Linked DNA regions of Tamandua tetradactyla. The protein of the gene in region 4 purifies or fractionates together with the protein of the main gene of each other region. This does not show direct contact. Links are inferred from orthologs where the notes say so. Each region holds a gene or a part of one and is shown on either strand. Other genes may lie near its edges.

Region 1 (7,055 bases), on a different chromosome or scaffold from region 4:
GATAAAATTAATTCAAACTTTTAAATACAGATATACTACTTTCAAATGAAACGCAAAAGCTTTTTAGGTTCACTGCACTCCCCTTCACCCTCATCCCCCCAAAAACCTTTCTAGAAAAAGAGAAACTTTTTTTCCCTATCTGCCTTACTTCAGATTCTGCCAACAGAAAATACTTTGTTTCAACATAACTTGATATATTTTGTTTTCCCATTAGATTCTGTTCTTTCAAATATGCACTGTTGCCCTCATTTTCTGAGAAGGGTGCGTGAAACAGAGAGGAAAGGCAAGGATATATATATGTATACACACACACACACACACACACACACACACACACACACAAAGGTTCAAAATTCAAACGCAATGGATAAACTCTTTAAAAGTAAAGAAACAACTTCTCCTTTCCTGTGACCAGACTCAAAATTCTGCACCATCCATCCCAGAAAGTATATTTGGGGGGATGGATAGATATATATTAATTTAGTGTACAGGTATTACTTCCCTTTTTCTACACTTTGCCCAGGATAATCTCAAACTATCATTCTAACCCCAAATACCTTCCTCAGGATGCCCCTGCCAGAATAAAACAAGATTTACAATACAATCACTTTAAGTGCCCCACAGCTAACATCAATCCTAATCCTTGAGAGGGCTAAAAATAAAGATTGGAGGGCAGCTCACAAGGTAGCCCTGATCAAATTAGGAGGCTGAGAGGACAGAGAGGGACGAAGAAGGAAGCTTATAAACATCTGATCCAGCTGACTGTGGCCATATGGCAGCTGCTGCCCAGATAAAGAGATTAAGAATAGAGGAGTGCGATTACAGCTGTCTGGCCAATTCAGGCAGCTCAAATCTACAAGTTCTAAATTAGTCGCTAACACAAAAACTCCTGCAAATAATTATTGTTATGCTGAAATAAAAGATCTCTTAAATATATATTTGAAAGAGAAATGAGGAAACCAGGCAAACTATTCTCGTGGGGACAAAAGTTTTTTCTTCTTCTTCTTAAAAAACCTTCGGTTTCAAAAGCACTACAGCTGTATGTTTCAGTAGTGCTGCCGAATGTTTTGAAGAGTAAAGTTTCACAGTGGAATTAATTACACAACAATCTAGCTTCTTAACTAGAAGAATCCTCTCATATAAGTTTGAATGCTTGATTCCAGTTTACTATTTCTACCCCAAAAGCAAAAGGAATCTAAATAGCAGGGGCGGGGGGGAAAGTCTATTAATCCAACGTGATCTCCAAAAGCAGTATTTCAAAGCCTTTAACACTTCAAAACTTGAAATATTTCTGTGTATTAAAAAGTTACTCAAGTAAAAAGGGATAAAACATTAAAACTAAACAAGCCCGAGATTTTCAACTCCAGTAGGATGTTCAATTCATACTCAATTTCATACATTATGCCTAAACTGGATTAGAAAAGTAATGTGATTTTTTTAAAATTAAATAAACAAAACACCAAAACAGAAATATGCTCAATCTAATCTATTGCTACTCCTACCTTTAGGACACATAAACCTGATTAAGTCCTTTCCTCTGAGTCTTGCTGGCTCCCGGTCTGTTACATCGGTGGAAAAAAAGCAGACTAAGAGAGACAGATGCAAAGTGGAGATGATGTTAGAGAGGAATGAGATACCTTCTCCACCACAGATCCGCACACACTAACTCCCTGTCTGTGTGTTAGAATAAAAGGCTGAGGGATGGCAGGCTGTCAGCTGCTCTGACATCATGTTCAGATGGAAATGCTACCTCCAGCTGTGCTCCTTTTAATGCCATATGCTACTCCTCTACACTCCTGCCACCAGCTTTTTCTTAGGAGAACTTTTCTCTTCTGTTAGTATAAACAAAATACTTCAAAGTCTCCCTTTTTTTTCCAAACTTTCTAACAGAAGAAATTGGAAAAACTCAGCATATGGAGTTCTACTGTATTTATGGAATAGCAACACTTCTGTCTTAAGTTGGTGGACTAGCTTATATACTGACAGCACACTCAAGCCACAGTGCTATTCAGGAAATCTAGATTCACTTTTATTCAACTCCAACATTTAGTTTCAAAGGCAACTTAACGGATATTTTTAAACCAACCCATTTGACATCTCCAGTCCCGTTGCAACATTTGTACCGCACTTTTTTTTCCGCTGAGATAATGGTATACATGTCTCAGAGATGTTGGAAGACTTATTCAGAACTATAACTTCAGCCTGGCTTACCTTATTTCACTTTTATTTAACTACATATCTACACTTACATGCTCAGTAAAATTTCTCACACTGCTACAGTTAATGCAAATTTCAATTCTCAGTATCAACAAGCTGAAACTGCACTTTCTGAAATCCTGGAAAGTGCTTCAGTTCAATGACAAATTAATAAACTGATACAACCTGCTACAATCACTTAAAATGATTGCTGCACCTGCTATCTGATCTGACTTTCTACTCAGAAAAAAAGCAGAAGAACCTTGCCGTTCTCTTGATCTGTGTCCCATAACAATCTTTTTTGGGGGTCACTCTGCAATGTTCACAGTAATAAGAAAATCTTTCAAAAGGGGTGGGGGTTGGGGGTGAAACACAACCCAGGTCTAGTAAGTTTGGAAAACTTCTGAGCTGGACTTCGTGGGTCTTTTCTAACGGCTGATGACATTGTAATGTAACCCTGGCAGGACGGTCCGCAGCCGTGCAAGGTGCTGCGACATCTGTGAATGTCAAACACATCTCCGCAGACTCTCCTAAGGGTGAGGGGTAGAAAAGGAACTGGGGCCTAGGGCGTCAATGTCTCCGTCTTGGTGATAATCACTCCGTTCTCATTAGAACACCGTGGCGAAGTTAAAGAGTAACAAAAACCAACGACTCTGTCCTGTCCTTCTCGGCTTCCCCCAAAGTCACAAACCTAACTTTCTCTAACTTCGCGGTGAATGACATAATTATGAAGGCCTATTTTAAGAGACATTCTTTGGAGATAAATTCCTTCTCAACTACACCACTTATTATCCACAAATGTCCTCGCCCCAGTCCAATATATCAGACATTAATCACCCCATTTACCCAGTGGAGTGGGGGGGTGGGGGGGTGAGTGACAGTTTAATGAGTCCCAAGCACCGCAATGGGCCAGTGACTCCCACTCCACAAATCACCTCCTTTACGTTTCGCTCCCGCGGGTTCATAGAGGTTTTGTGAGGTGCGGTTTTTGTTTTTCAAAGAGATGGGGGCGAGGGGGGCGGGCTGCTGCGTGGGGAGGGGGAAAGAATGGCAAATCTTTACATAGTTCACTGTGCATAAAACACCCCGGGGAAAGAGGAAGGTTAAACCACAGGGAAGGAGGTGGAAGGCGTAGAGCCGGTGCAGCAGGAAAACACCTTAAACAACAGACGAGAAAACAGACCCGGGTCACGGCAACAACAAAAGAAAAGTCGTAAGAAGAAGCCGGGGGGGGGGAGGAGAGTGGTTGCTACCGCTTCCCCGACGTCTCAGCACACGAGCCCTCGGGGCCTCCGGGCAACTGCACCAGCCCCGAGAGAGGCCCCTGCCCCCCCCTGCGGCCCCCTCCCCCCGGCGCCGCTGCAGCTGCACCGGTCCCCGGAGCCGCGTCCGTCCCGGGCGCCACTGCAGCTGCGGCGGCTCCCAAGCCCCCTCCCCCAGCCCGCCGCCCTCCGCACCCGAGAGGCGCCACCGCAGCTGCACCGGCCGGGAGCCCGCCCCGCGCCGCAGCTGCACCGGCCCGGGGTTGGGGGGGTGGCGCGGAGCCCGCGAGCCAGCACCCCGCCCCGACCCCGCAGCTGCAGCGCCCCGTCCCCGCGCCCCGGCCTCCCGCAGCTGCACCGCCCCCCGCCGCCCCGACAGCTCCAACCACACAAACTAACTCCACTCGCTGGGGGCGCCCCCGGCCCGCCCTCCGCTCGTAGTGCCCCGCCGGCTCGAGGCTGCACAACTGGCGTCCCCGGTCAGCGAGAGGGCCGGGGCGCGGAGGGGGCGCCGGGTCAGGGGGGGCCGGCGCCGGGACTCACACGGAGCGGCCCTAAGTCACCGCGTCCCCGCCGCCGCCGCGTCCTCCGCCTCCTCCGCGTCCTCCGCCGCCGCCGGACTTGGTGGGCTTCCTCCTCCTCCTCCTCCTGCCCCCCTCCCTCCCGGCCCCCCCACCCCCCAATCCCGGCTCCGTCGCCCGCTCCCCCCCGCCCCTCCCTCCCACCCACCCCCGCTGGCAGCCGGAGGAGCGCGGCGCAGCGAAGAGGGCCCCACTCTCAGCGGCTCCCCATGGCAGCAGCCCAGCGGCGGCCGCAGCCTGCCAGACACAGCGAGGGAGCGAGCGAGGGAGCGAGCGCGGAGCCGCCGGGCCGGGGGGTGGGGGGGTAGCGGGGGGGGGCGGAGGGGAGGGGGCGGGAGGACGCACCACGCACGCACGCGGCGGCGCCGGCCAGATGTTCCCCCCCTCGGCCCGCCCCTCTCCTCCCCCTGCCCCTCCCTCCCTCCCCGGGCTGGGCTTCCGCGATTGACCGAGCGCGGCTGGACGGGCGCTCCCCGCCCACCCCCATCCCGTAGTCTCTTCCAATAGGAGGGCGACTTTTCGGGAAGGTGGGGGGGCGGCAGGCATTCGTCGGACTGACAAGCGGTGCCTGCCAATGGGAGAGGCGAGCCGGAGCTGCCGCTCTCAGCTGCCAATCAAGAGCAGAAGCTGCTGGGGGTGGGCGGGCCCGGGCCAGTCGGGAGCAGGTTGCGGAGCGGCGCGGGGCGGAGTCCGGGGTGCGGCGGCAGCGGCAGCGGCGCCCCTCTGGGTGACTTGGCCGTGAGAAAGTGAAAGGATCCCGCAGGCGGTGGCGACAGCTGCGCTGGGCGGGGCTTGTTTCCAGGCCGGGAGGCCCCTGCGCTCTGGGGCTGCGGAGCGAACCTTTCGGTGTGCGCCGTGACAACCATAAGTACACTTTCCAGTGTGTTGGTCTCGAGTGCACTCGGTTACGCGGGGAATAAGGAGGATTCGAGTCCGGCTTTAAGCCGTGCTCCCCTTCGCCCCTCCTGCTGCTGACGACGCCTAGGTCCTCGCCTGCCAGAGCGTGGGATAGCAGAACCCGCGAATGGTCTCCAGGTGCCCGTCGGGGCGCTCGGGACGCTGGAGGCTTCGAGAGGCGCGTTCCCGGGCGCTCTTCCCCTGCGTGGTCGTTTAGAGCACAGCACAGCGTCTCTATTTCCCACAGAACTCCCACGTCCCGTGTGCATTTACAGTATTACAAGCAAAAACATTCTTAGGTTACCAAGTTTTAGAGAATTACGGTAAAACTGATACGTGTAGATGCCTTAACCTGATTCCATCCCTATTTACCTAGTACACGTTATCAAACCCAAACTTTACATTGCCAAGGACAGAGATACACCAGTCTCTTTTGCCTTCCTTCAAATAAACTCGTATTTTATTCGGTACTTGCCCTGCAAAAAAATGTGTTCATTGCTACCACGGCCACAAGCAAATGTAGAAATGTCTGCCTTCAAGAAACTGGAAATCCTGTTGAGGAAGCGAGAATTACAAGTAAAAAGTTGGATAACAAACAAAAAGTTGCAAAAAATTGCATAAGCGGAGGAGGTCAGTGCACTATTAGTTGTCAAATGAGTTTATTCTTTACTATCTGAAGCAGGATTGGTAGGCCTGCTGCTAACCAACTTGCCAGGAGACCTTTCAAGTGGGCAAAACGTGCTTTCCAGGTCAGATGGTTGAAATAGGTTGAAAGTATGGTTTGGGCAAATCAAACATGTTGAATTGCTAATGAAGCAACAACAGGAGCACATGAAATTCCTGGAACTGAATGGCCTTTAGAATATCCTGTTTGAAACAGTTGTGATGGTCACCACTCTTTCCTCAAACATCTATCACTCATGATTACACACTGACCCCAGGGCCACCTTATAACTAGAGCTTGGTTTTTTTGATTGTTTTTTTCTGTGAAATATACTGTTGTAGCTGTGCTTTTGATGACTTCTAGGTCTTTTCGGTTTGATAGAAGGCCCAATTTCAGCCTGACCTGTTTAAAGTTAGGTAAATCTATTAATATTCTTGACAGATGAAATATACTGTAAAAGCCAAGGTGTTTCACTAACAAGGTCAGGGAAAAGAGAAGAAAAAGAATGGTTCACACTCTTAAAGCTGTTTCTCCTCTACTAAAATTTAAAATAATGAAAATAAACAGCTCCTCTGGGTGAATAGGCAAAGTAATTGATAGTGTCAGAATACTAAACAGTAAATTTCATGAGAAAATTAGAGCATGCAGATTATCCACAAAAAGCTTAGAAATTCAACTCTGGCATACAGAGCAAAATCACAACTCCAACAAAAGCTTCCATGAGACTCAGAAGTCAAATAACAGCCCAGAGATACATAGGGGGAAACTTGGTGCATCAACAGGTGTGACATGTTTTTCACTTCTAACAATCACTACTAGAATCCATTTTGAGGACTGATAGTATGACAAGAAATATTAAGTGGATATTTAAGGAAGCAAGTATGTCCCCCTCAATTATGTCAAAGTTTTTACAAATTTATGAAAATATGTGTAGTATATATTCATCGTCAGAATCAAAAAAAAAAATGTTTGTGGAGCATTTATTCTGTGCTAGGAAGGTACTCGGGCAGAGATACGGGAAGACATCAAAAAAGTTTAAGACATGGTCTCTTCTTTCCAGAGTTTAAATTTAGTTGGGAAAAAAATGGGATAAATATGTTTTTAAAATGGAGCAAAGAAACCAAATGACATAGAGGATATAGACCTTAGAGGTAAGTTTCCTGTTCAACTGGTACAGCCTATCCCTGGTCCCTGGTACCCTTTTTTTTTTCGCTGCTCTTACATTTCAATTTTCTTTGTTTTATTCTCTAACCTCTGACTTTATTTTAAACTGTCTTATTATAAACTTACTGTACAAATGATACTTTTAATCCTTTTTGGAAAGGTATCAGCATACAAATTATAAACAAAGTAAGATATATCAGAGATGTCGTCAGAAAAATTGCTGTACTTTATTCATCATGGGAGGTAATAAGTCAGATTCTAAACACCCCCTTCAAGTAAGCTTCTCAAATT
Region 2 (7,722 bases), on a different chromosome or scaffold from region 4:
TTAATTTAGTATATTGTAGCCCCCATCTACCTTTCTCTCTCTCCACAGATACAAGATCCATGATTTAGAGCTAAACTGCTTTGTTTTTTTTTTTAATTTACTATTTCTTTTGTCTGCTGAGAAACTTCACATAGTCTGAATGTGCCCACACAATCTGGTGATTTGATAAAGTATGGCAAAACTCCTTGAAAAGAGGGAGGTAGCTAAAAATACTTGGCAACCTTTTGCTTATTTTCAGTTGCAGAGTCTGCCTCCCTTGATATTTTGCAGTCAAAGATGAAAAGAAAACTTTCAAATTTGATACATAATGCACATAATCATTCATTTACTGCAATAACCTCCGATTTGATTTATACAGCACAACAAAAAAGGCGTCTAAACATTCTAAACACATCTCTTTACATTTGTTAAAACAGCTGGCTACACTGAATACATTTTCAGAATACACTTGTTAATCATTTCCTACATATACTAAGACAAACAACACAGAGAACATCAGTTACCTTTTTATCTTATAACTGTACCAATCACTGTAAGAAGAGATACAACCAAAGAAGAAATATGAGATCACCCATGATCCATTGCAAAAGTATTACACCTTACTCCTAGGAATGATCTGTAGGTGCAGAAAGAGGTGATTCTCTAGACGGTGACCCAGGGTTTTCTTCAGGTGGAAAAACTGTGAGGGTACAAGCTCGAATGCCACCAAGTGACTCTGGAAGGTCAAAAACTTTGTGCCATTCATCTTTTTCAGGGTCATATTTTTGGACAATCTCTACCATACATCGATTATTCCAAGAATATCCACCAACGACATAGATTTTATTTTCAAAGACAGCAACTCCAACATCACTCTGACCTCTTAACATAGCAGCAATTGGTGTCCACTGGTCAAGAGTTGGTGAATAGTATTCACAGCTTAGTACATCATCATAATCACTTGTCCCTCTGAAGTGATTGCCACCAATGACATAGAGCTTGTCTCCAACTGTACACATGCAATGCAGACCTCTGACTGTAGTCATCGGAGCCTTCTGTGTCCATTTGTCGGTATCTGGGTCAAAACACATGAGCTCATTTTGGAAAGTGTCATGTGTAATACCTCCTGAAATATACATTAAGCCTCCATACACTGTTCCAGCATGGCCATAGTGAGGTTCACTCATTTTTGCAACATAGCTCCACTCATTCATTCTTGGGTTGTAACATTCAACTGTAGCCAGTTCACCAGCTGCACTGCGCCCACCAACTGCATACAAATGCCCTTTGAGGGCACTCAAGTGGAAAAATGTGCGCTTCTCATTTAATGATGCAACTTGCATCCATTTATTATACCGAGGATCAAATCTGAAAACTGTATCGACAGCAGTTTTTCCTTTGGTATCATAATTGCTTTGACCACCAACTACATAAAGGAAGTTTCCAATGACAGCAATGCCATGCTGGTAACGAGGAGCATCCATGGGGGCTAAAGATCTCCACTCTTGTGCCCTTTCATCATACATTCGTAATTCTTTACTGACAACCAGCTGCTGTCTCAACACTCCTCCTAATGTAACCAAGTGAGTTGAATCAGATCGAATGGCAGTTCTGTCTGACTGCATTACTGGCTGCATATATGGCATCATTTGGTAATTGCTAGCTTCCAAAAGCAAATTCACACAGGTATTGTCCGTCCTCATGAAATCTACTGTCTGCACATAATTGATGAGGTCCTGTGGTGTCATCAGTGGAAATCGGATGTTCTTCATCAATTTTGCAGCATAATCCATCCGAGGGTCTTCCAACCTTAGCCAGCGGCAAGCAGCCTTGAAGAGTTCAAGTTCAGTACAGTGCTTCAGACTATTACTGGAAAGCACAAAGGCAAGCCGTTCAAATGGGAGCTTTAGGAATTCTCCAGTACTCAATAATGCTGGAAAATTCTTAAGGATGAAGTTATTAACATATTTATCCACTTCTATAAGATTGTAGGTGTTAGCAATTCGTCCAACTTCAACACAGTTATCTAAAGAGACCCCTGATATAAGAAATACTTTGCAGAAGTCCAAAACAGGTAAAATCTGTAAAAAACTGGCAGCTTCAAGTGTGTCCTGAAGATTGTCCATATTAAGAGAAAGTTTTGCAGTATAAATAAAATCAATGATTTTCTTCAGACCAACCTTGTTCACGCCATGAAGCTTGATGCACATTAAATCCTGTTCTTTCATTCCACCTGTGAACATCGCCTTGAAATAATCACTAGCAGACGCCATCATAGCTCTGTGAACAGGAAAGATTTCATCTCCATCACCTGGTATCAGGGTCACATCACAAAGTAATCCTTCTATTCTAAGTTGATCAAAACCTTGCAATACCACTGAACTGTGCGTATTGCTGGTAAAAAACCGTGTGGTTCCTGGCTTGCAAGGCTGCAAATGGGCAGAAACACCCATTTCGCTGTTACCAAGTGACACTTTCATGTGAAAGCCGCCTTCTTGCACAGAGAGATGTCTCCCGGAAAGAGGCAGTAACCTCAACGTTTTAAAGGAATCAAGATTGTCTCCCAAGAAACGGGAGAGCTCTCTTTCTTTATCAAGAACAGTCACTGTGGCGCCCCTCAGGACACTTCTGTCAGTCATCCACTGAAAACTGCTTTGTAGCAGGACCACAAAGGGATGCGGACCTCAAATCTGAATATTATGCTGATGATTCATCACCTGACGGCAGTTAAATGACCCGGTTCACCTCGTCCGGCCTTCGAAGCCGCTCCCGCAGCAGTTCCGCTCCAGGCCAAGGGGGAGGCGCCGCCACGTACAGAGGCTCCGCGGCTCGCTCAGCGGCGAGGCCGGGCACCTCGGCGTGCAGCCGGCTGCGCCCTCCGCTGTCACCAGACCGTCGCCGCGCCTGCGGGGCTATCTCCGAACAAGAGCCTGGAATTCCCGGCCTGGGCCTGGAACACGGGCCTAATCCGGGACACTGAGCCAGTCCTTCCGCAAAGGCAGAATCCCAGGATGCCCCGGGCTAGGAGCGGCCGCGGCAGCCACTGCGGCTGCGCATCCGTCTGAGCTCATCGGTGGGCGGGCGTGGGGGGGAGGGGAGGGGAGGGGAAGTGCGCGGGACGCGGGGAGGGCGTCGGGGAGAAGCGGGCTCTCCGCAAATGCCCCTCTGGAGGGACTCGATTAAGGCGGGCATATTATACCGCACTTCGTATACATCTCTCGCGGCATCCGAACTCTCTCTCCAAATGCATACTTTTTCTTTAAGGTTTACACTTCCTGGTTTCTGTCGTGTTAATTACAGTGAAACACGGCTCTCCGGTAAATTGAAAGGAAACCTCGTAGAGGAGGGGTTGGGGAAGAGGAGGCTTAAATATTTTTTCTTTATAAAACACTTTTGTAATTCTTATCCCAAACAATTTAACTGCCACTTCAGTTATAATTTTGTTCATATTTTCGGGTTTAAATCATTTAAAACACATATAATTTGCCTGTCTGAAAACTAAATTGTCCCCATACTATGTAAATAATATATCGAGTTTTTCGCTCCCAATTCCATCATGTTTTCATGCTTTTGTTTTTCATTCTCAACTTCTTAAATGGCTACACAATTTTCCAACAATTATATGCTATTGTTAGCTTTGCCTAATATTTGTTTCTGGGTCTATACATTCTTGTGCATTGTATAGAATCTGTAATAAACTTACAGAATCTGGGCTCAAAACTTTCCCCTGGTTTTGGATAAATCCTAACAGTAGGATATTAGTTGAAGACATAATGAATCTTTCCAAATTATTGTTTCCAGCAACATTGGAGTGTGCATCCCCCCCCACGCCGCCGATTTTTGCCTTTATGGTATTTTATTAATTTGCATTTCTATACGTGACTGTAAGTTAAAATTTTGGCATACAAATGAATGAACACGTTGACACTATTTCTTCCAACATTTTCCACAACATGAAATTATGCTCTTTTAATGTCAGTAGACAAATGGTTAATAGATTTTAAAAAATCAACTTAGGGCGGTGGGATGGTGGCTCGGCGGCAGAATTCTCTCCTGCCATGCTGGAGACCCGGGTTTAATTCCCGGTTCCTGCCCATGCAAAAAAAAAGAAAAAGAAAAAATCAACTTAATTAGTCACTAAAGATATGGCAATTTCAAAAGAGATTTCCAATTATAAAATAGTCAAAGAAAAATATTCAGGACTTATTAAATTCCAGGCGTTTTACATGCTTTACATATTCTCACAACAATTTTACAGGAAAAATTTATTTCCATTTTTAAAATGAGAAGATTGAGGGGAAAAGAAGGTTAATTTCCAACTGTGAAATGGGAGAGCTGGGATCCAAACTCATATTGTCTGATTCTAGGGCCTCTGCTCTTTACTGCTATGCTACAATGCTTTCATGGTATAAAAATTATGATCATTATTGAAGAGACTGAGATTGATGTTGGCTTTACAAATGGACTTCACAAATAGAGTATTTCTTAGAGTACAGTAGTTCCAATTTTAGAAACATGTTTTGGTACAGTAATTCCAATTCAAAAGCAAAAAGGCAAAGAGCTTGGGTGTGGGTAAGCGGTTTCGACTCTCTCAGCATTTCCCATGTTTATCCCTTCCACAAGTATTTACTGTGCTCCTACCACATGCCAGACACCAGGCTATATGCACAACAGAGGTGATAACATAATCCCTGCCGTGAGAAGGCAGCAGGCTGGTGGGAGACTAGGCAACTAAACAGACAATTAGAACCAAAGACATGCTCCACTCTGCAAATATCTCCTTGGGTTCTTGATGTGTCCCCCACATTCTATTTCCATCTCATATTCACCCAACTCAGACTATAACTACTACTTGCATTAAAAATGTCTTCTTCAGGAATAGCTGAGGTTTAAATGTCTTTATAACTGTGAAAAAGCCTGGCACATCCTATTGTTCCAACTTTTAGAGGAGTCTGTACCAAAAGCACATGACACTGCTGTCCCTACCACTGACCTTGAACCTGGGCCAGTGGAGATGGATCTCGAAGATGAGCTGTCCAATCTGTTCAAGGTCATCTTCTAAAATAAAGATTTCCCAAAACATTCTATTCTGCACTTTCCAGATCTGTCCTGAGAATATCAATCTTGTGATGCCTAAATTTCTTCAAGATGGTTCCCAGTTTTCTGGTGTTTCAGGGCAGCAACAGCAGGATGGGCAGCCCATGGACAGGCAGAGATACCAAAGGTGCTAACTCTACAGAATGTGAACTATTTTTACATTAAGATCAAAATGATGTACTTCACATCCATCACTGGCCATGCTAACCTCAACATGGGTATTATCACGTCCCAGAAAAGCTAAGCCAAACCTGTCATCAAGACAAACTGACCAGAGTTTCTTTGTACAGCTGGTGCTGGTAGGCAGGTTATCTGTACTCTTAATTCAGAAACTGAGCAACGCCTGCTAAGTGCCATCTGGAGGGGGCACATGCACTGGTTGCAGCAGCCAGAACTGTTCTTGAGCAGCTGAGAGCCTGGCCTGGTGTGCAACAGCACCAGGCAGAGGACCCAATTTTATTTTAAATTTAGTCTGATCCCATGTTTCAAATGCTCTGTTTAAATGCTTTTTAGTTTATCTTGGATAAAATTGCTCCATCTCTCAGAGACTCCTCCTTCTACGTCTTCTCCCTACTAGTGTCTGAAACTATGAGAATGTTTCAGATATCCTTCTGACATTGTGAGCATCCCACCCCATGATGGACCTTTTACATGTGCTGGTGGCATCTGGTCTTCAAGGAGATCTCTCCTGCCATTACTGTATCACAGTCTCCAGCTGTGAACACAAGATCCATTCTTTTAGCCTAGCCAAAAGAGAATTAGCCATATTCCCTCTTTGTTGACTCAGTTTCCCTATAGCTTTGTGTGTTCAGTCTGTAGGCCAGGTGATCCACCCCCTGTCTTGACTATGGAACTACCTTATCTTACTCAGTGCCATAATGTTTGGACCATCAGAGAAGAGAAAACAGATCAGCAGAGTTGTCAGCCTCAAGGTTTCCTTTTTGCTGACCATGCTGAGATGCCACGCTTATGTGCTGATGCCCCAGCTTGGTATGAGATGGTCCAGAAGAGTATATTTAAAGTGAGTAGCAGGGCAAGAAGCCATAATCTTTAGTGTTCCCCTAAACTTACTTAGCAAAGCATTCTCTTTCCAGAAGACAATAGTAGACAAAGACTAGGACATGCAAGAACTGCTGTCTGACCATCTCCATATGCTCATCTGCGTGCTCCATTTTCCCATGAACTTACTCATAAAACACAAGTTCAAAGATAAAACTATTAAGAATCTGAAGATGGCAAAAGCAGAACTTTAAACCAAGGTTTCTTCTAAATGTTCAAGCATTGCTATACTTATACGTACATGCACACACACACACACACACACACAACAGCAGCAGCAGTAGCCCAGGGAGAAGGAGAATAATTCTGCAAGTAAAAAGTAGATTATAAAAATCACAGAAATCCAAAATACAAAACTTAGAGCCTCATTCCCTAACTCACCTCATGGGATTCTGCTTGGAACCCCCAATCTGCTCGGAAACATCTCAAGTTCTCTGAGCTTCAGTCCTCTCAAATAGAAAATGAGATTAAAAAAACATCTAGAACTGATGCAGGTACATTTTAAAGCACCTAGGATAATCCCTTATTAGAGTTAGCACTTTAATAAATTAAAAAAAAATGATTCCTTCATTTTCTCAATATTGACCTATACAAGAATATTATAGGTCTTTCTCTATAAAATAGTTTGAAACTAGAACACCTGTCTCTTGGGAGCTGACCAGCTGACAAAAGTCAGCTGAATTCTGGCAAGAAACTTGAAGACTGAAAAACAGACATTCACCATATCATTTCGTCACCACCACCAACCAATGTGTCCCTCTCTTCCTCCAGATTCCTTTATTTGTGGAGTAAAGTTAGACCATCAATGGAACTGACAAGAATGTAGATATAGAGCCACACATATATTGTTGATTGATTTTCAGTTATGGTGTAAAGGCAATCCAATTAAAAAAGGGTAATATTTTTTAAAAAAGAGTGCTGGTACAAGTAGACATTCATATACAAAAAAATGAAGAATCTTATTTGTACCTTATACCATCTACTAAAATAACTCAAATGGGCCACAGACCTAATTACAAACCCTGGAACCATAAGATGTCAAAAAGAAAAAAATAATTGTGACCACTGGTAAGGCAAATATTTCTTAGAAATAATATAAAAAGAAAAATCCACAAAAGAACTGATAAGTTGTACTTAGTCAAAATTATAAATGTTTTCACTGAATTTTGTTATAAAAATGAAAAGACTCAGACTTAGAAAACACATTTATTCAAAAAAGTACTTAGATTTAGAACTTTAGAACTTTTACAACTCTAAAGTAAGATTACAAACAACTTCCCAAAAACTGACAAAATATTTGAAGAGATACTTTATCAAGGAAGTTCTATGAAAGGCAAAATAAGCATCTGAAAAGATGCTCAACATCGTCATCAGAAAAGTGCCACTTTAAACTATGAGCTACCCCTACTAGGACTTTCGAATGGTTGCAGTTTACAAGTCTGCCATACCAACTGTTGATGTGGATGCGAAGTAAGTGAAACTCTTATACACTACTGGTGGGAATGAAAATGGTACAGCCACTTCGGAAAATTTTGGCAGTTTCTTAAAATGGTAAACTACCATACAACTTAGCAATTCCACTTCAAT
Region 3 (7,003 bases), on a different chromosome or scaffold from region 4:
TAGATTTATCTACAAAAAGGGGAGTCTGAAGGATAAAAGGGGGAAAGGAGGGATAGTTCAGAGATTAAGTTTTGAAAAGGCTTCACCTAGGACTGAGTTTCCCGATGCCAGTACAAGCCCGTAGGACACATCACGTTAAATTTACCTCACGGTTATCTAACTGATTCCCCTTTCTTTGATTTCAGGTTCACTAAACAGCTATCTAATTATAATTTGCATTTCCATTCAGGTTTGCCCACAGGGAGAGGCTATGCTGATAAGGAGTAACTGGTTCCACTACAGATTAAGAAAATGCATTCTAATTGCCTTTTTAAAATTTTGTAAATAAACTACCATTATTTGGAAAAGTAAACTTTTTGATTTCACAAATCCCCACATCTGCCATCTTACTAAATAACTGCAAGAATAAATTACTTAACCTTTAAGGCCTCAGATTCCTCTTCTGTAAAATGGGAATAAAAAATACCTTACAGAGTAAGGTTAATAAATGCATGCCTGGCACACAGAAGACAAGGAAATGTTAAGTCTATTTCATTCCATTCTGCCCAAGCTTGCAAGTCTAGTAATTGCAGAAAGCTGAGACCGAACCCACATGTACTTTAAAACTCATTCTTTTTCAGTTAAACTATTGCTTGTTGGCTCTCCTCTCAGTTATTCCCAAGGACCCTACAAGTAAGGACAATGTTACTTAACCTTTCTGGGCATTATAAAGGTGATCTTTCTTCTAGGGCTTAGGCAACTGAAATTTGTGCAAAAACTAAGCTACATTATCTACTGGGAAATATAACCCTATGTTTTAAAAGGTAAAGCCTAACTTCTGAAAAACTTTTGTGCCATGCGATTGGACGGTGCCTAATTAACTTCAGTATAAGTGTGCTGAATGGCAAGATCACTCAGAAAACACTGAAGGACTAATACCCGAAAGGGTTTTCTAAAGCCAACTGACTATCTGACTACCTACCAATACGAAAGAATGAATTCCACCTACCATTATGGATTGCCTAAAATCTGAGGACTGATCAAGATCTGTCTGCTTTGAAAAGTGATATCAAAATGATAAGACTAGGTAACTATCTTTCAACTTGAAATGTTAAAACACAGCCTAAGAATTAAAGAACAGCTTACTTTACTTATTACTAAGGACTTAACTATTCAAGAAGTGTGGGTAAATTCTATCAGTCTAAATCAACTATGGATACAAGTAACTTCACTTAAAACCGTTCTAAATGCTAAGTTTAAAATACTTAACGTAAACTGCATTTATAAGCAACTTTTTGAAAAGGTGAGCTATAGAAAATCTCACAGCACAAAAAAATCCAGGTAGATGGAGACAACATAAAAGTGCTTTAGTTTAACAACAGCAAGCCCCCCCCCTCCCCCAGGAAATTCAACAGAGATGGTTTTAATTAAACTATTCACAAGAGCAAGGAGCGTTTTCCAAAATAACTTCCTCCACATCACAGTGCTCTCATATCAACGTTATCCTGACCTGTTAGAATTTTTTTCGGTTGGATATTTTCCTGAAAGGGTTAAAGTCAACGGTTCAGGAAAGTGTTGCATTCTTCAGCAAGCTGCCCGATTTGACTTCCACCAACATATAATCTTAAAAGACTGAACATAAGGCAGCTTCTCTAAAATCACAGCTAATAAATTGTTGACCGCAAAGTCAATCTTTTAGGTTAAAAACAACAATCTCAACTTTCTTAAACTTTCTTTCCATTCAATCTGAAGAGACAGCAAAGAAATCGGAGTCATACAAAAATCAGGAGAAATAAATCGTGCGTTACGATTAGAAAATTGCCATCCACCATCCGCCCGTTCCCCCTCCACAGACACAACTTTTGAAAACTTGTTCCCAGGCTTTTTCAACTCCCCCCTCCCCACCCCCTCGCTTAAGCTCCCTGCATCTCTTCCAAATGGAACGACGTCTTTACCCAGGAAAATGGAGTTTTTAGCTGATGAGCCTTTACCTAGAGATCTGAAAAAGTAAGAGCAGGATATACGGTACCTGGGCGTTGGCTTCATTGAGTTTGTGCTCGGTAGAAACGTGGTGCCTCAGCAGAAGGGTTTTCTTGTAGTTGCGGGTCCCTCGGGAAAGCTCGTCATGCCCCACTTGGGGAGGATCCCCGCTTCCCCCGTCCTCAGGGGTCTTTTGGCACCACCCGCAAGACATAAGGCCAGTATCCTTGGAATACCGCAGCCAAGGAAAGTCTTTGAGCCAGGAGTTCTGGAAGGAGCAATGCAGCTTCTGCATTAGGGACTTGGGCCGCGCGAGCGGGAAGTGCTGGACAGTCTCCCCTTCGCCAGCTCCCACACCGCTGCCCTCCGCTTCGTCCCCGCCATCGCCGCCCGACCGCCTGCTGCTGCTGCAGCTGCCGCCTTCCGCCCCGCTGCCATCGCCCAGGCTCGCCCCCTCCTCCTCGTCCTCGGTGCTGTCGCTCAGGGACGCGCCGTCCTGCATCAACTCCTTCCCCTCCAGCGCGTCCAGCTCGAGTTCCACAGTCGCCGGCCCTCGTCCGTTGAAATGCCTCAGGGGCCAAGCCGAGGTATCGGGGCGGCCGCGGCTGCTGCCATTGTTGCCGAGACCCCCGCCGCCGCCTCCTCGGAAGGCCAGAGTCCGACGGTTCCTTTCCGCTAGCAGGGGGCCCCCCGCGCCACCGCCGCCCAGCGTGGTGGGGCCGCCCGCGTCTTGGGGGAGCAGCAACTCCTTGGTTTCCTCGGTGGCGGCGGCCGCCCCGGCGGAGGCCTCCAGGTCTTGGGGCTCCAGGCCCTCCAATTCCACTTCCTCGTCGGCCCCCCGCCCATTGAGCTGCTGAGGCGCTGGCGGCTGGGGCTGTCGCGGCTGGGGCTGGTGAGGCCAAGCCGAGGCCTCCCCGCCAGCGTTATTGTTCGTGGAGCCACTGCTACTGCCGCCGCCGCTGGCGGTGACCAACCCGCCTCCTCGGAACGCCAGCGTCCTGCGGTTCATTTCACTGAACGACATGGCGCGCGCCGCCGCCCGGTGCCCCGGCTCGCGCCCGGCCTCGGGCCGCGTCCCGCGCGCTCCCCGCAGCTCCCCCTCCGCTTCGCCCCCGCCCCGCCCCCGGCGTTCGGGTCTCGCGGGGCTGGGGCCCGGCCTCGCCCTCCCGCCCGGCTGGCTGGCTCTCGCTCCCGGGGCTGCCTCACGAGTCCGCCACCGCCGCCGCCCGCCGGGCCGCCGCCTCCGGCCGCTCTCCTTGTCCTCCACCTCCGCCCTGCTGCGCTCGGCGCAGCGTCCCGCGCGGAGAAGGGAGGCGGACGGCGGAGGTGAGGAGCTAGCCGGGGGCGCGTGGGGCCTTCGAAGTTGAGAGGCGGAGTGAGGGGGGACCCTCCGCTGCCCCCGCTTTAAATCCCCACGCACACACAGACCCTCCAAAACAGATATCCTTCCTCCGGCGCGCCGAGGGGTCCCAACGCCGCCGCCGGCTTCCGAGGAGCTGAGAGCAAGAGGCACGTTAAACTGCTGGGCTCCGCCACATAACGAACCGACAATAAAGCCGGCGGAGCGTTTCCGTCCGACCAGGCCCCGGCGGAGGTCGAATGGCAAATGAACAACGGACCGTGAGCCCACAATGCACCGGGGTAGCAGTAACCGCTGGAGGGGGAAAGGGTGGGGGCCGGGCTGGGGGAGGGGGCTGGGCTTGGGGCTGGGCCGGGGTGGGGTGGGGGCGCCAGGGGACCGGGAAAGGGGCTGGACCGCGCCTCTGGCCTGGGGGCGGGGGTGCGGCCGCGGGGAAGGAAGTCGGCGGACGCGCGGGGGACAAAAGGCCGGGCGGCAGACTGGGGGTCTCGTCTCGGGGAGGGGGCGGGCGTGTGCGGCCGGGGCGGGCTACGCGGTGGACAAACAGCTGGCGAGTGTCAGGGTCTGGCCACCTCCCCGCTGCCCACACGCACCTACCCGCGCCCGGGACGCACATTTTCCTTCTCTCGCCACGAGTTCACCTGGGACTTTGGAAATAATTGTGCGGTGGGCGCTGCGCTCCAGCCTTGTCATTTGCTCGGGGGGTGGGTGGTGGTGCCCAAGGAAGTGAACTTATTTTGTTCCTTCACAAAGACTGGACCAAGGAGTGCCTTTCACGCGAGGAGGTTGCAACCATGGACACCTCCTTCTCTGATGCATTGTGTGTGCGAGGCGGCACCTCGGGCCCAAGGCTGTAATCATTTCACAGAAAATGCACCGCCCCGAGTGTCTTATTGCTGTGATGAAATGGAAATTTAAATAAAAGGTCGAACACGTGCGTTCACTGGGAAGTATTGACATGGGTGTTACATCACCAGCAGCCAATCAGATAACTCTAGTCGTGTTTATACTTCTACAACCACCTTGTGAGTATTACAGTATGTCATAACGTTATAAATATTAGGCAGGGTTTTCCCCAGGAGCGGGGAGGAGTCTGCTTATACGGACTTTTGCAGCTCGGAAGATGGTGTTTTAAGACAAGAATGAACTTTTAAGAGTTTTGGTGTTTTTTGTTTTTTAACTGTTTACATTGCATGTGGAATTTAGAGACCCTAAAAGAACAGATTGAGCTGGAATTTTTTAAATTCCTTACTATGCTAAATTTAGTAAATGTTCAAGTATTTAGGCTCCTTTTACTATTTTACAACGTGAAATGTCTTAATTTTTTTTTTCAAACCTTTCAGGTAAAAAAAAGATGTTCTCAAACTATGGAGGGGCTTTTTACTCTTTTAAGAATATATTTATTAAAAGTTGAATAGAAAAACTAAAATGCATCCAGGATACATTGTTGAGGATGAAAAATCATGTTTATATAGTAAGGTATATTTTTAAATTTAGTAATAGTAGTACATTAAGGTGTGCATAGAAAAAACTGAGGAATACTTATGAACTCTTTACAGTTGTATCTAGTGGGAGGGGCTGTTCTTGGGGCTGTAAAATTTCTACATTGTTCACTTAAAGTTATGTGTTTTAAACAGAGCTTATGTTACAGTTTTTAGGCCTTCTAGTTTTATGTTTCTTGATTTCAAGAACATAAGCATATATTTATTATTCTTTTTCCATTTTAAAAATAACAATATTGTATATTGTCTTTTAAAGACTTTGACTATGTGCTGTGAAATATGTGTTTTAGAAGATTAATTAAAAATTTTCCCAAATATATTATGAACTACCATTTATATTAATATTCTTTAATGGGCTAAACACAGGCATTCACATCCAAACTCATGAATATTAGTGATTGCATAGATGTATTCAAAGCAGAACCCACCTAATTCACTGTACTTTTAGCATCTTTATAAATGAGCAGTGTTGTAGATCAAACAAAAAAACATAAGTTCTACCTTATAGAGTAAACGTAATTGTAATGTAAAGATTAACACTAAAAAAATAAAAAGAATAGCATTACTAACCTGCCATACAAAGATTTTGGCTTTGAGTTGTTTTCCCAGAATGATCACATAGCACTCATCTGAGCCATCCACGTTGTCTGCTGGCCACTGGTAATCAAGAGCATGAAATTATAAAAGGTCCTCAGGGTGGTACGTTTTGTGGTTGGTTGTTTTGTCTTGCTTTGTTTTATTTATATGAAAGTTTACGACAGTGGAACCTGTGACCTTGACCCAGTTTGTGACCTGCAGTTGTGAGATTATATCCACTTGACTGTATGTAATATGTGCTTCCATGTAATACAGGAACGAATAATATCATGCTTTGTCCTTCAGTCACTTGTTTTGTTTTATAATTCCAGGCACTTTGCATGGAAATGGATTATCTATTATATTTTAACCATAACAACCCTCTCCCCTGTAAAAAGGGAAAAATTACTGAAGTTAATTACCTATCTAGGTTTGAGGAAGTGTTAGGAACTGAAAATGGATTTAAGAATTTTTCTTCAACATTAAAGTTTATATCCGTTATAAAACGGTTAAGTTCAAATCTTTACATCTATTCATCTTTTATGCCTAATACATATTTTGTAAGTTTAGGCTATTTGTATTATTTGTTCTTTCTGTTAGTTCCAGAATCACCAAAAATGTTTTGAATCCATAATGCTGCTAATTGTATCAGGAGTGATAAATTTCCCAGACATTTATCTTGTCTTATATTTTATAAGATCCCCATTGTCTTCTGTCTGGAATTAGGTTTAAGCTTGGACTAATTAGGAAAGAATGACACCAGTTTCAAATGGTATAAACAAATGGCCTAAAATTGTGGAAATCTAGGACCAATGAACTATTTAACAGCCAAACAGTGTTGTATGTATATGTATATATATGTATATGGGTTTATATATTTATGTGTGTGCATGTGTATGAGTTTTCTTCTCTAAACCCTGAGGGAAGATCGAATCAGAACCAAAGATCACAGGGATAGTAATGGCAATCTCACAGAATACCCTATACCAAGGGAACTTTAAGTAGCAAAAGGGGATCTCCTACTCTGTAAATGGAGTTTTTTTAAATTCCCCCACACCTTCTAGTCTCCTACTAGCAAGCAGGGATCTGTTCTATACTCTAAATCCTGTATTTGCTGTTGGGGTTCTACCATATTTAAGGGAATTCCCCCTTATTCTTACCAGGGGAACCCCTCAAGAATGGGGCATCCCCAACCAATTTGTCCCCAGATTTCATTTGAGAATGTAAAACTGATACCAGCCCACCTTAACTGTGCGATGGGGCCAATGTCCTATACCTGATTCAGTTCATCTTTCATAGTTGAGCGTGACTGTCTGTAACTGCCTGAGTAGATGAAGCTTGCTACAAACACTTGGCTTCTTCAGATGTGTGTAGAATTCACATGGGTCATCCACCAAAATGAAGTACTTGAGGATAGGGACCATGCATTGTACACTCAATACATGCCTTACCCTACCCACTGCCATCCCCAGCCTGCCATGTAGTAGTAGACAATTAGTAAATATTTATTGAACAATTTGCTATACCTTCCCTTGCAAACTGTTTTGGCAAGCAACATTTTCTTCTGTTTTATTTCAGTTAAGTAAAAAAAAAAATCTTTAAAGGT
Region 4 (6,922 bases):
GTATGGTATATACACTTAGGTCAGACTCCCTCAAGACTCGGCCATTCATTTCCCATTAATATTTATTGAGTGCTACCATATGCTGAGTACTGCACTTGGGGAGGGAATACAGTAGAAAGCAAGGCATACAGCCTTCTGCCCCAAAAGCCTTGTCCCCCAAAATCCTACTTGGAAAGAATCTTGATTTCAATTCATTCCAGGCTGTCCCACTCACTTCATGCTGAATGCTACAAGGACCACAAGATCTGTTAGAGAATCTTTATGTCAGTTTCTATTACAAGAAATGGAAATCTACTTAACATGTCCAAATACTCCAACATAAAAGGGCAAGTAATTGTCAAAAGATCCTCAGGCCAAGTTTTCAGCAGTCTACAGCAAAAATGTGAAAAAGAAGAATGAAGCAGATAGAATAAATTTATTATAGGGTTTTACTACATTGCAAGATTATGGGGGGAATAAAATTAAAATGTTCTCTACCGCATGAAATAATTTAAATAAAAAGTGCCTCGTTTTTGTTTTGGTTTGTTTTTTAGCAGTCTTACTTAGCCAAATAAAAAGACAGCAATTAAACCTCGTGCCAAATTTATCAATGATCTAGAGGTATCAGGAAAGTTCCCTCTGCCCTAAAATCCATCCCCTTCCCACACCACATGACAAGCAATTACTCTTCAATATACCTCCAGAAGTGCTGTCATGTTCCCCTCACTTTTGCTGTATTTTCACAAGAAGACTAATTCTACTGTTCACAGTAGAACAGATCCAAACATACGGAATTATAAATATGCAAAAAAGACTAATCAAAGAAGGTATACTGGTGACTGGTGACCTTGAGTATCACTAAAAGTAGTCAAATTCTTAACAAGGTTATTTATGGCTAACCTTAAGTATTATCCACAGTGAAAAAGGGAGGCTTATGTTTCTTAAGCTCCAGAAAGGGAGAAGAGGAAGGAGCGACAGCAGGCAAAAAATGAGACAAAAGAACTTAAGTTAATCATAACTTCATACAAATTCTATCTCATAACTTTGTCACTAACATTGACAAAATTGCAAAATTCACTTAGTTGAAAGTGCTGCAAAGCTACCACACAACAACCATCTCTTCTCCACACACCCATCCCCAACAAAAAAATACATTTGCCCTTACTTTGTAGGAACCTGTATGCTCTAATGTAGGGATTAAACAGAAGTAATGCAATACAACACAGAATGAAGAACAGGGTTTTTTAGGGCAGGCAGGCCTAAATTCCCTAGTTCCAGACCCAGATGCGCCCCTTACTTTGTGGGTGTGACCCTGTACAAGTCATTCAATGTCTTCATGCCCCACTAGAGTGTAAACATCATCGGAGCAAAGACCACTTCTGCCTGCCTCACTACTGTTAAGTCTGGCCCATAGCACTTAAATGCCAGTTTCTTCTTGAATAAAATGAAGACGTTAACAATATTTATTTCACAGGGTTATATGAAGAATTAAATGAGATATTATGTATACAAAGCTTCTGGCACAGTGCCTGATCATAGTAAGTGCTCAGTACAAGTTAACTGTTATTTCAACCAGCAGCTATTAAATCTAAAAGTATCGTTCGAAGGCTTTCAAATACTAATAGACAAAATCACTATCCAGTAAGTATAAATTGCTCAATTGATAAAATATTTCACAAAAGCCTACAAATAGTTTCTAAACCACTGGGCTTGGAATCTAAAAAGAGACGAACCTTAAACTGTGGGTAATAGATGGAAGTTATAACAGTCAGCAGACTCCACATTTTTCTAGTTCAAAAAACAGACGGTAAGCATCTTCCCTACTGAATTCCCAATCGGATGTCCCTGGCTCTCAGGGCAGCCCCCTCCCCCGTGCTTAGGGGGAGGAGAGAAGAAACCTTGGAGGCGGGGGCCGGAGTTGGGGAAGCGAGCATCCTTGCGGCCCACACCCACCTTGAGCAGAATGGATGGCGGCAGCTGGTTAATGTCTGGGATTTCGGGGGGCGGCTCCCGGTAACAGTCGCAGGGGTTTTCGCGGGACTCCGGACCGTCCGCGTCGCCGCCTTCATGCTGCTGCTGTTGCTGGGCGGGCGAGGGGGCGGCGCCCCCAGCTCGGACAGCGTCCCCGCCGGCCTCTATGGAGGCACCTTCCGAAGTGGGAGAGGAAGGCGGGGGACAGAGCTGCTGCGGGGGCTGCTCCGGGCTCTGGCAGCAGCCGGCGTCGGGGGGCCGCGGCGGCGAGGCTCCTCCCCCCGCAGGCCCTCCTCCGCCGCCACCGCCACCGCAGCCCCCGCCGCCACAGCGGGGCTGCTTGCAGGGGGTGCAAGCAGGGACCCCTGCCCCTTTCCGCTTGCACACCATCTCTGGAGATGTGGTGGGCTCGGGCGGCGGCGGCGACGGCCCCCGGAAGAGGTGCACGGCGGCAGGCGGCCCCAGGAAGCGCACAGGCCCCACGCTGGCCAGGAAGAGGCTCCGGCCCTGTTGCTCCCAGGCGGCGGCCGCGGCCAGCCCCAGCTCTTTGCAACAAGAGGCGGGCGAAGAGGCCGAAGCGGCGGCGGCGGCAGCGGCGGCGGCGGAAGAGAGCAGGAAGCGACAGGCAGCGGCCGCGCAGTCCTCGGCGGCCAGGGCCGCGTAGCGCCTCGCCAGGTGCTGCGAGGAGGCGGCGGCGTAGGCCCCGTCTCTCGGCGGCGGCGGCGGCGAGAGCGGCGGCTCCTCCTCTGGGCCGGCGGGGGCGGGCGCGCCGGGACTGTGCACGATGAAGCAGAGCATGCAGGGCCCGCGGAAAAAGCAGTCCCGGCTCTGGGGCGCCGCCGGCTGAGGGGGCGCCTTGGCCGGGGACCGGCGGGGCAGCCTGAGGAGAGGGCGGCGGCGGCGGCACCAGCTGCAACAGCGAGGCCTCTTCTGGCTTGGGCGGTTACGCGGCTCCTTCGAGAGAAGGTGGCCCATATAGAAGGCCCCGAGGACGGGGATAGGGACGGGGACGGAGGGAGGCCCAGAGAGGCGGGCTCCCGGCGGCGGGACAGGCCGCTCGCTGGCTCGGCCCCGGGCCCGCGGCGGGGTCGCCCGCTCTGCGCACACGCACACACGCACACACAGGCACACACGCGACGGTGGGGGGTGGGCGTCGGCTGCGAGCTGCCTGGGTGCCCGACGGGGGCTACATGCTTTGCCCAGAAAAGCCGGGAAAACGACGGGAGAGAGCTTTGGGGACGCGAGAGAAGGAGAAAGCCTGCCGGCTATGCGACCAGTCCGAGTCCGGGCCCGGCCTGCCGGCTCAGTCAGTCAGCGCCGTGGCCGGGGGAGCGCCGGGTCCCCTTCGGACCATTTTAACTGCGGCTCCGCCGGCAGTGCGCGCACTCGCGACGCGGCTGGGCTCTGCGGGAGCGCGCGGCCCGCGCTGAAAGGGGGCGGAGTCGGCCGCGGCGGCGCGCTGGAGGCGGGGACGCGGGCTTCAGGCAGCTCACCCGGGACTACCGCCAGGCGGGGGACTGCAGAGAGGATGCTGGCCCGCTAGGGCTTGGGGCTCGCGGGGTGCAGCGCGCCTTATTCCCTTCCGGAGCCCAAGGTTTCGTGGAGGCCGTTGCGCCCCCGCCCCCTTTTCTGGAGCGGGAGGAGACGCTTCCGAGCCAGCTGTGTGACATCCGTTTACACTGCCGCGCTGACGTCTAGAGGTGTAAGTTCAAGAGCTGCCATTGGCCAAGAGCCGCTCGGCTCTCCCCTGCACTCCGAGACCGAGGCCAAGTGCTGTAAACAGGAGTCCAGCCGGAAGGGCCGATCTAGGCACAGACTGGGCTCGGGCTACCCCTCGGATGGGGTGGGGGACGCGCGGCCCTTGGGTGATGCGGTCCCATGTCCTTATGTGGGAACGGATTGGTTATGCGGCACCATTGTTTCCCCACTTGTTTTCATACTTGTTGCTTGTGGCATAATGCTGACTTTCCATAACTTTATTTCAAAATGAAGTCGTATATCAAAGACATCACAATAGGAAGATAATTTCTCAACTCAGTAAGTCAAACAGCATCCCAGTCTACTATATATGAAGCCATACATGAATTTATTGTCTGTACCCTCAGAATCCTGTACATCCATCCATCATATACTTTAAAAAATGATTGTGCAGTGCCTACTATAGGACACACTGCCCCAGGCAGTACTTGGTGACCTGGGTGAGAAAGAAGTAATAAGAGTTTGCAGACAAACAACCCTTTAGAAGATTTGACTATAATGAGAGCAGAGAATAAAAAACAGTGGTACATGGCGTTGGAGGGTGGTTAGCTTTCACAAGGAAGAAATTTGAGGATGCTTAAGTATGGGATGGGAATGAGCCAGTATAAGGAAGGAATAAGGGGATGAAAAGAAAAAAACAGTAAATTCCCTGAGAAGATGGAATCTGGAATGCTTTAGGAGGGGTACCTTCCTCATTGTGATTGGAGGGAATGAGGAAAGGATAGATAAAGAATACCGATGTTTGGAAGTTTGTGGCACGGAAGTTGCAAGTATTCCTTTCGGATGGTTTCAATTTCCCTTTAAGTGGAGCCGGTTACCTGTTGAAGGATGAAAGACAAGTCGCAGGGGTTTTAAAAACATCCCATCAAACCTTTGCTAATACCAGTCTCTGTCATGAATGACTTTTATTTTAGGTCTGTCACACTCAGGAATCTACCCCCTTAACCGCCCCTTTCTGCCTGTAGGGGCAGCCTTCCAGTGTCCCAAACTCCACAAGGGGGTGATAGGTGGAAAGAAATGTGGGGCAGTCCCCCTGCCTGAGGACTTTGCCATCTCTACCAGGCTAAACAAAGGGGACGGGTGGGGGTGGGGGATTCCAAGCCTTTTCATGGGGGAAAAAAAAGGGAAAACCACTTAAGTGTGGTGTTGTTGATATGGTGGTACAAATTTATGTTTCATTTTAACTCTCTAGTATGTTTTATAAATGCCTATAGTCGCTATGTATTATTTTAATAATGAAAAATATGTTTCATAAACTTTATAAAATAAGTTAATGAAATGTCTACCATTGTAGCAGGCAGAATTCTAAAATGACTGTCAAGATTCTCACTTCAGATACACCCATCCTACATAATCCACCACCCATAAGCCTGGGAAAGATCTATGAATATGATGGGACATCATTCCCATGATTGGGCCTGACCTAATCAGGTGAGTCTTTGAAAGAAAATCTAGAAGTCAGAGCCAGGGAGATCTCAGAGAAATTCAAAGCAGCAGCAGATATACTTTCTTGTTGGCTTCCAAGAAGGAAACTCCTATGTTGCAGAGAGAGTCACCAGGCAGGAAATGGCAGGTAACCTCTAGGAGATAAAAATAGTCCCCACTGATGGCCAGTGATTTCTGAATTCTGCCAACAACCGCATGAAGTTGGAGGAAGACACTGAACTACAGAAATACATGTTTCAATATGATGACAAAGGCAGTAGTCTACATGACAAAAAAAAAAAATTAAAAAGCAAATGTACTAGTACTGGACAATACCTGGTATCCAATTCAGGCTACATATATATAAAATGATCTGACCACAAATATCATGCTTATGCAAAATAAATTTTTTCTTAGAACATCAAAATTCTAGCCATTCTCACTGCCTACCACCTTATTCCCCTTGTGAGTATTTTGAGAAAACTTCTATAATAAAATATAAAAAGGATCGGTATGGCATTTAAAAATTGCAAAAGCAGAACACAAAACATCTGTAATGCATTTCTATATAAAATACACATTAACTCTTGTTAGTTAAAAAAAGATAGAACAAGAAACCACCCTGAATAACTGTTAAAACCTCATCATGGAAAAATTCTCATCATTTATAACATTACTGGTGTGCCAGTTTGAAAGCCATATACTCTAGAAAAGCCATGTTTTAATCCTAATCCATTTTGTGGAGACAACCTTTTCTTTTAATCCCTATTCAGCACTGTAGGTTGGAAACTTGATGAGAGTATCTCTGTGGGCATGTGACACATCCAATTGTGGCTACTAACCTTTGATTGGAGGGAGATGTGTCTTGATCAGTTTACTGGAATCCTTTAAAAGAGGAAGCATTTTGGAGAGAGGAAGAGAGCCACAACAGAGCCAGGAGAACAACTAGAGCCCATGCAGCCAGAGACCTTTGGAGATAAAAAAAGAAAACACCCCTGGACAAGCTTTATGAAACAAGAAGCCTGGAGAGAAATCTAGCTGACCTCACCATGTTAGCCATGTGTCTTTCTAGTTGAGAGAGAAACCCTGAACTTTATCAGCCTTTGAGTGAAGGTAACCTCTTGTTGGTACCTTAATTTGGACATTTTTATGGACTTGCTTTAATTGGGACATTTTCATGGCCTTAGAACTATAAACTTGCAACTTACTAAATTCCGTCTTTAAAAGCTGTTCCATTTCTGGCATATCACATTCTGGCAGCTAGCAAACCAGAACAATTGGTATACAACTGATGGATATACTTTTAGAAGAAAACTCACTTGAAGAAGTCATTCAAAATATGTTTAAAATTATGAATAAGTAACTCACTGCTTACCCATCCTCAAAGTGTTTTATCATAAATATTCTTCTTAATATTAGCCACAAGAAAAAGAAAAGAGAAACTCCACAGAAGTGTTTCTCAAAATAAGGTCCAAAGGCACAGTAGACTTCTGACGTGGGCCCAGTGAATGTGCATTTTAAATAAACTTCCTAAGTAATCCACATTCTAAAACTTAAGAACTAATGCCGTAGGGAAAACATTATTTTTTTCAGGTTTTCATTGCTTTCAGACCTAGTTATTTGAAGAAAAGAGAGTATATGGCCAGAAACTTTGGAAAAATTACATTTCTAATGAAATGTGGCTTCCAAAAAGGTATTTATTAAATGCCAACAAATTTTAAATAATTCTAAAGTTAAGAGTAGATAGTGTTCCCTAAAATTAAATGTTACTCAGATTGGACCATTATAA

Evidence for each region.
Region 1: the proteins of FBXL17 (region 4) and ZBTB18 purify together in Homo sapiens (co-immunoprecipitation; 3 studies listed by BioGRID and IntAct, with this or other methods). This does not show direct contact. The link is inferred for Tamandua tetradactyla from reciprocal best matches to the Homo sapiens genes FBXL17 and ZBTB18.
Region 2: the proteins of FBXL17 (region 4) and KLHL9 purify together in Homo sapiens (co-immunoprecipitation; 3 studies listed by BioGRID and IntAct, with this or other methods). This does not show direct contact. The link is inferred for Tamandua tetradactyla from reciprocal best matches to the Homo sapiens genes FBXL17 and KLHL9.
Region 3: the proteins of FBXL17 (region 4) and ZBTB10 purify together in Homo sapiens (affinity purification with western blotting; 3 studies listed by BioGRID and IntAct, with this or other methods). This does not show direct contact. The link is inferred for Tamandua tetradactyla from reciprocal best matches to the Homo sapiens genes FBXL17 and ZBTB10.

The regions. Positions count from the first base shown.
Region 1 is NC_135333.1:15,432,596-15,439,650, reverse strand, and holds the start of ZBTB18 (zinc finger and BTB domain-containing protein 18), read right to left. Parts: upstream 3,022-7,055; 5' UTR 1,516-3,021; coding exon 1,503-1,515; intron 1-1,502.
Region 2 is NC_135328.1:75,144,082-75,151,803, reverse strand, and holds KLHL9 (kelch-like protein 9), read right to left. Parts: upstream 3,004-7,722; 5' UTR 2,619-3,003; coding exon 606-2,618; 3' UTR 38-605; downstream 1-37.
Region 3 is NC_135332.1:124,292,414-124,299,416, reverse strand, and holds the start of ZBTB10 (zinc finger and BTB domain-containing protein 10), read right to left. Parts: upstream 3,018-7,003; 5' UTR 2,984-3,017; coding exon 2,009-2,983; intron 1-2,008. UniProt on the Homo sapiens protein: May be involved in transcriptional regulation.
Region 4 is NC_135347.1:22,019,047-22,025,968, reverse strand, and holds the start of FBXL17 (F-box/LRR-repeat protein 17), read right to left. Parts: upstream 3,025-6,922; 5' UTR 2,926-3,024; coding exon 1,933-2,925; intron 1-1,932. UniProt on the Homo sapiens protein: Substrate-recognition component of the SCF(FBXL17) E3 ubiquitin ligase complex, a key component of a quality control pathway required to ensure functional dimerization of BTB domain-containing proteins (dimerization quality control, DQC).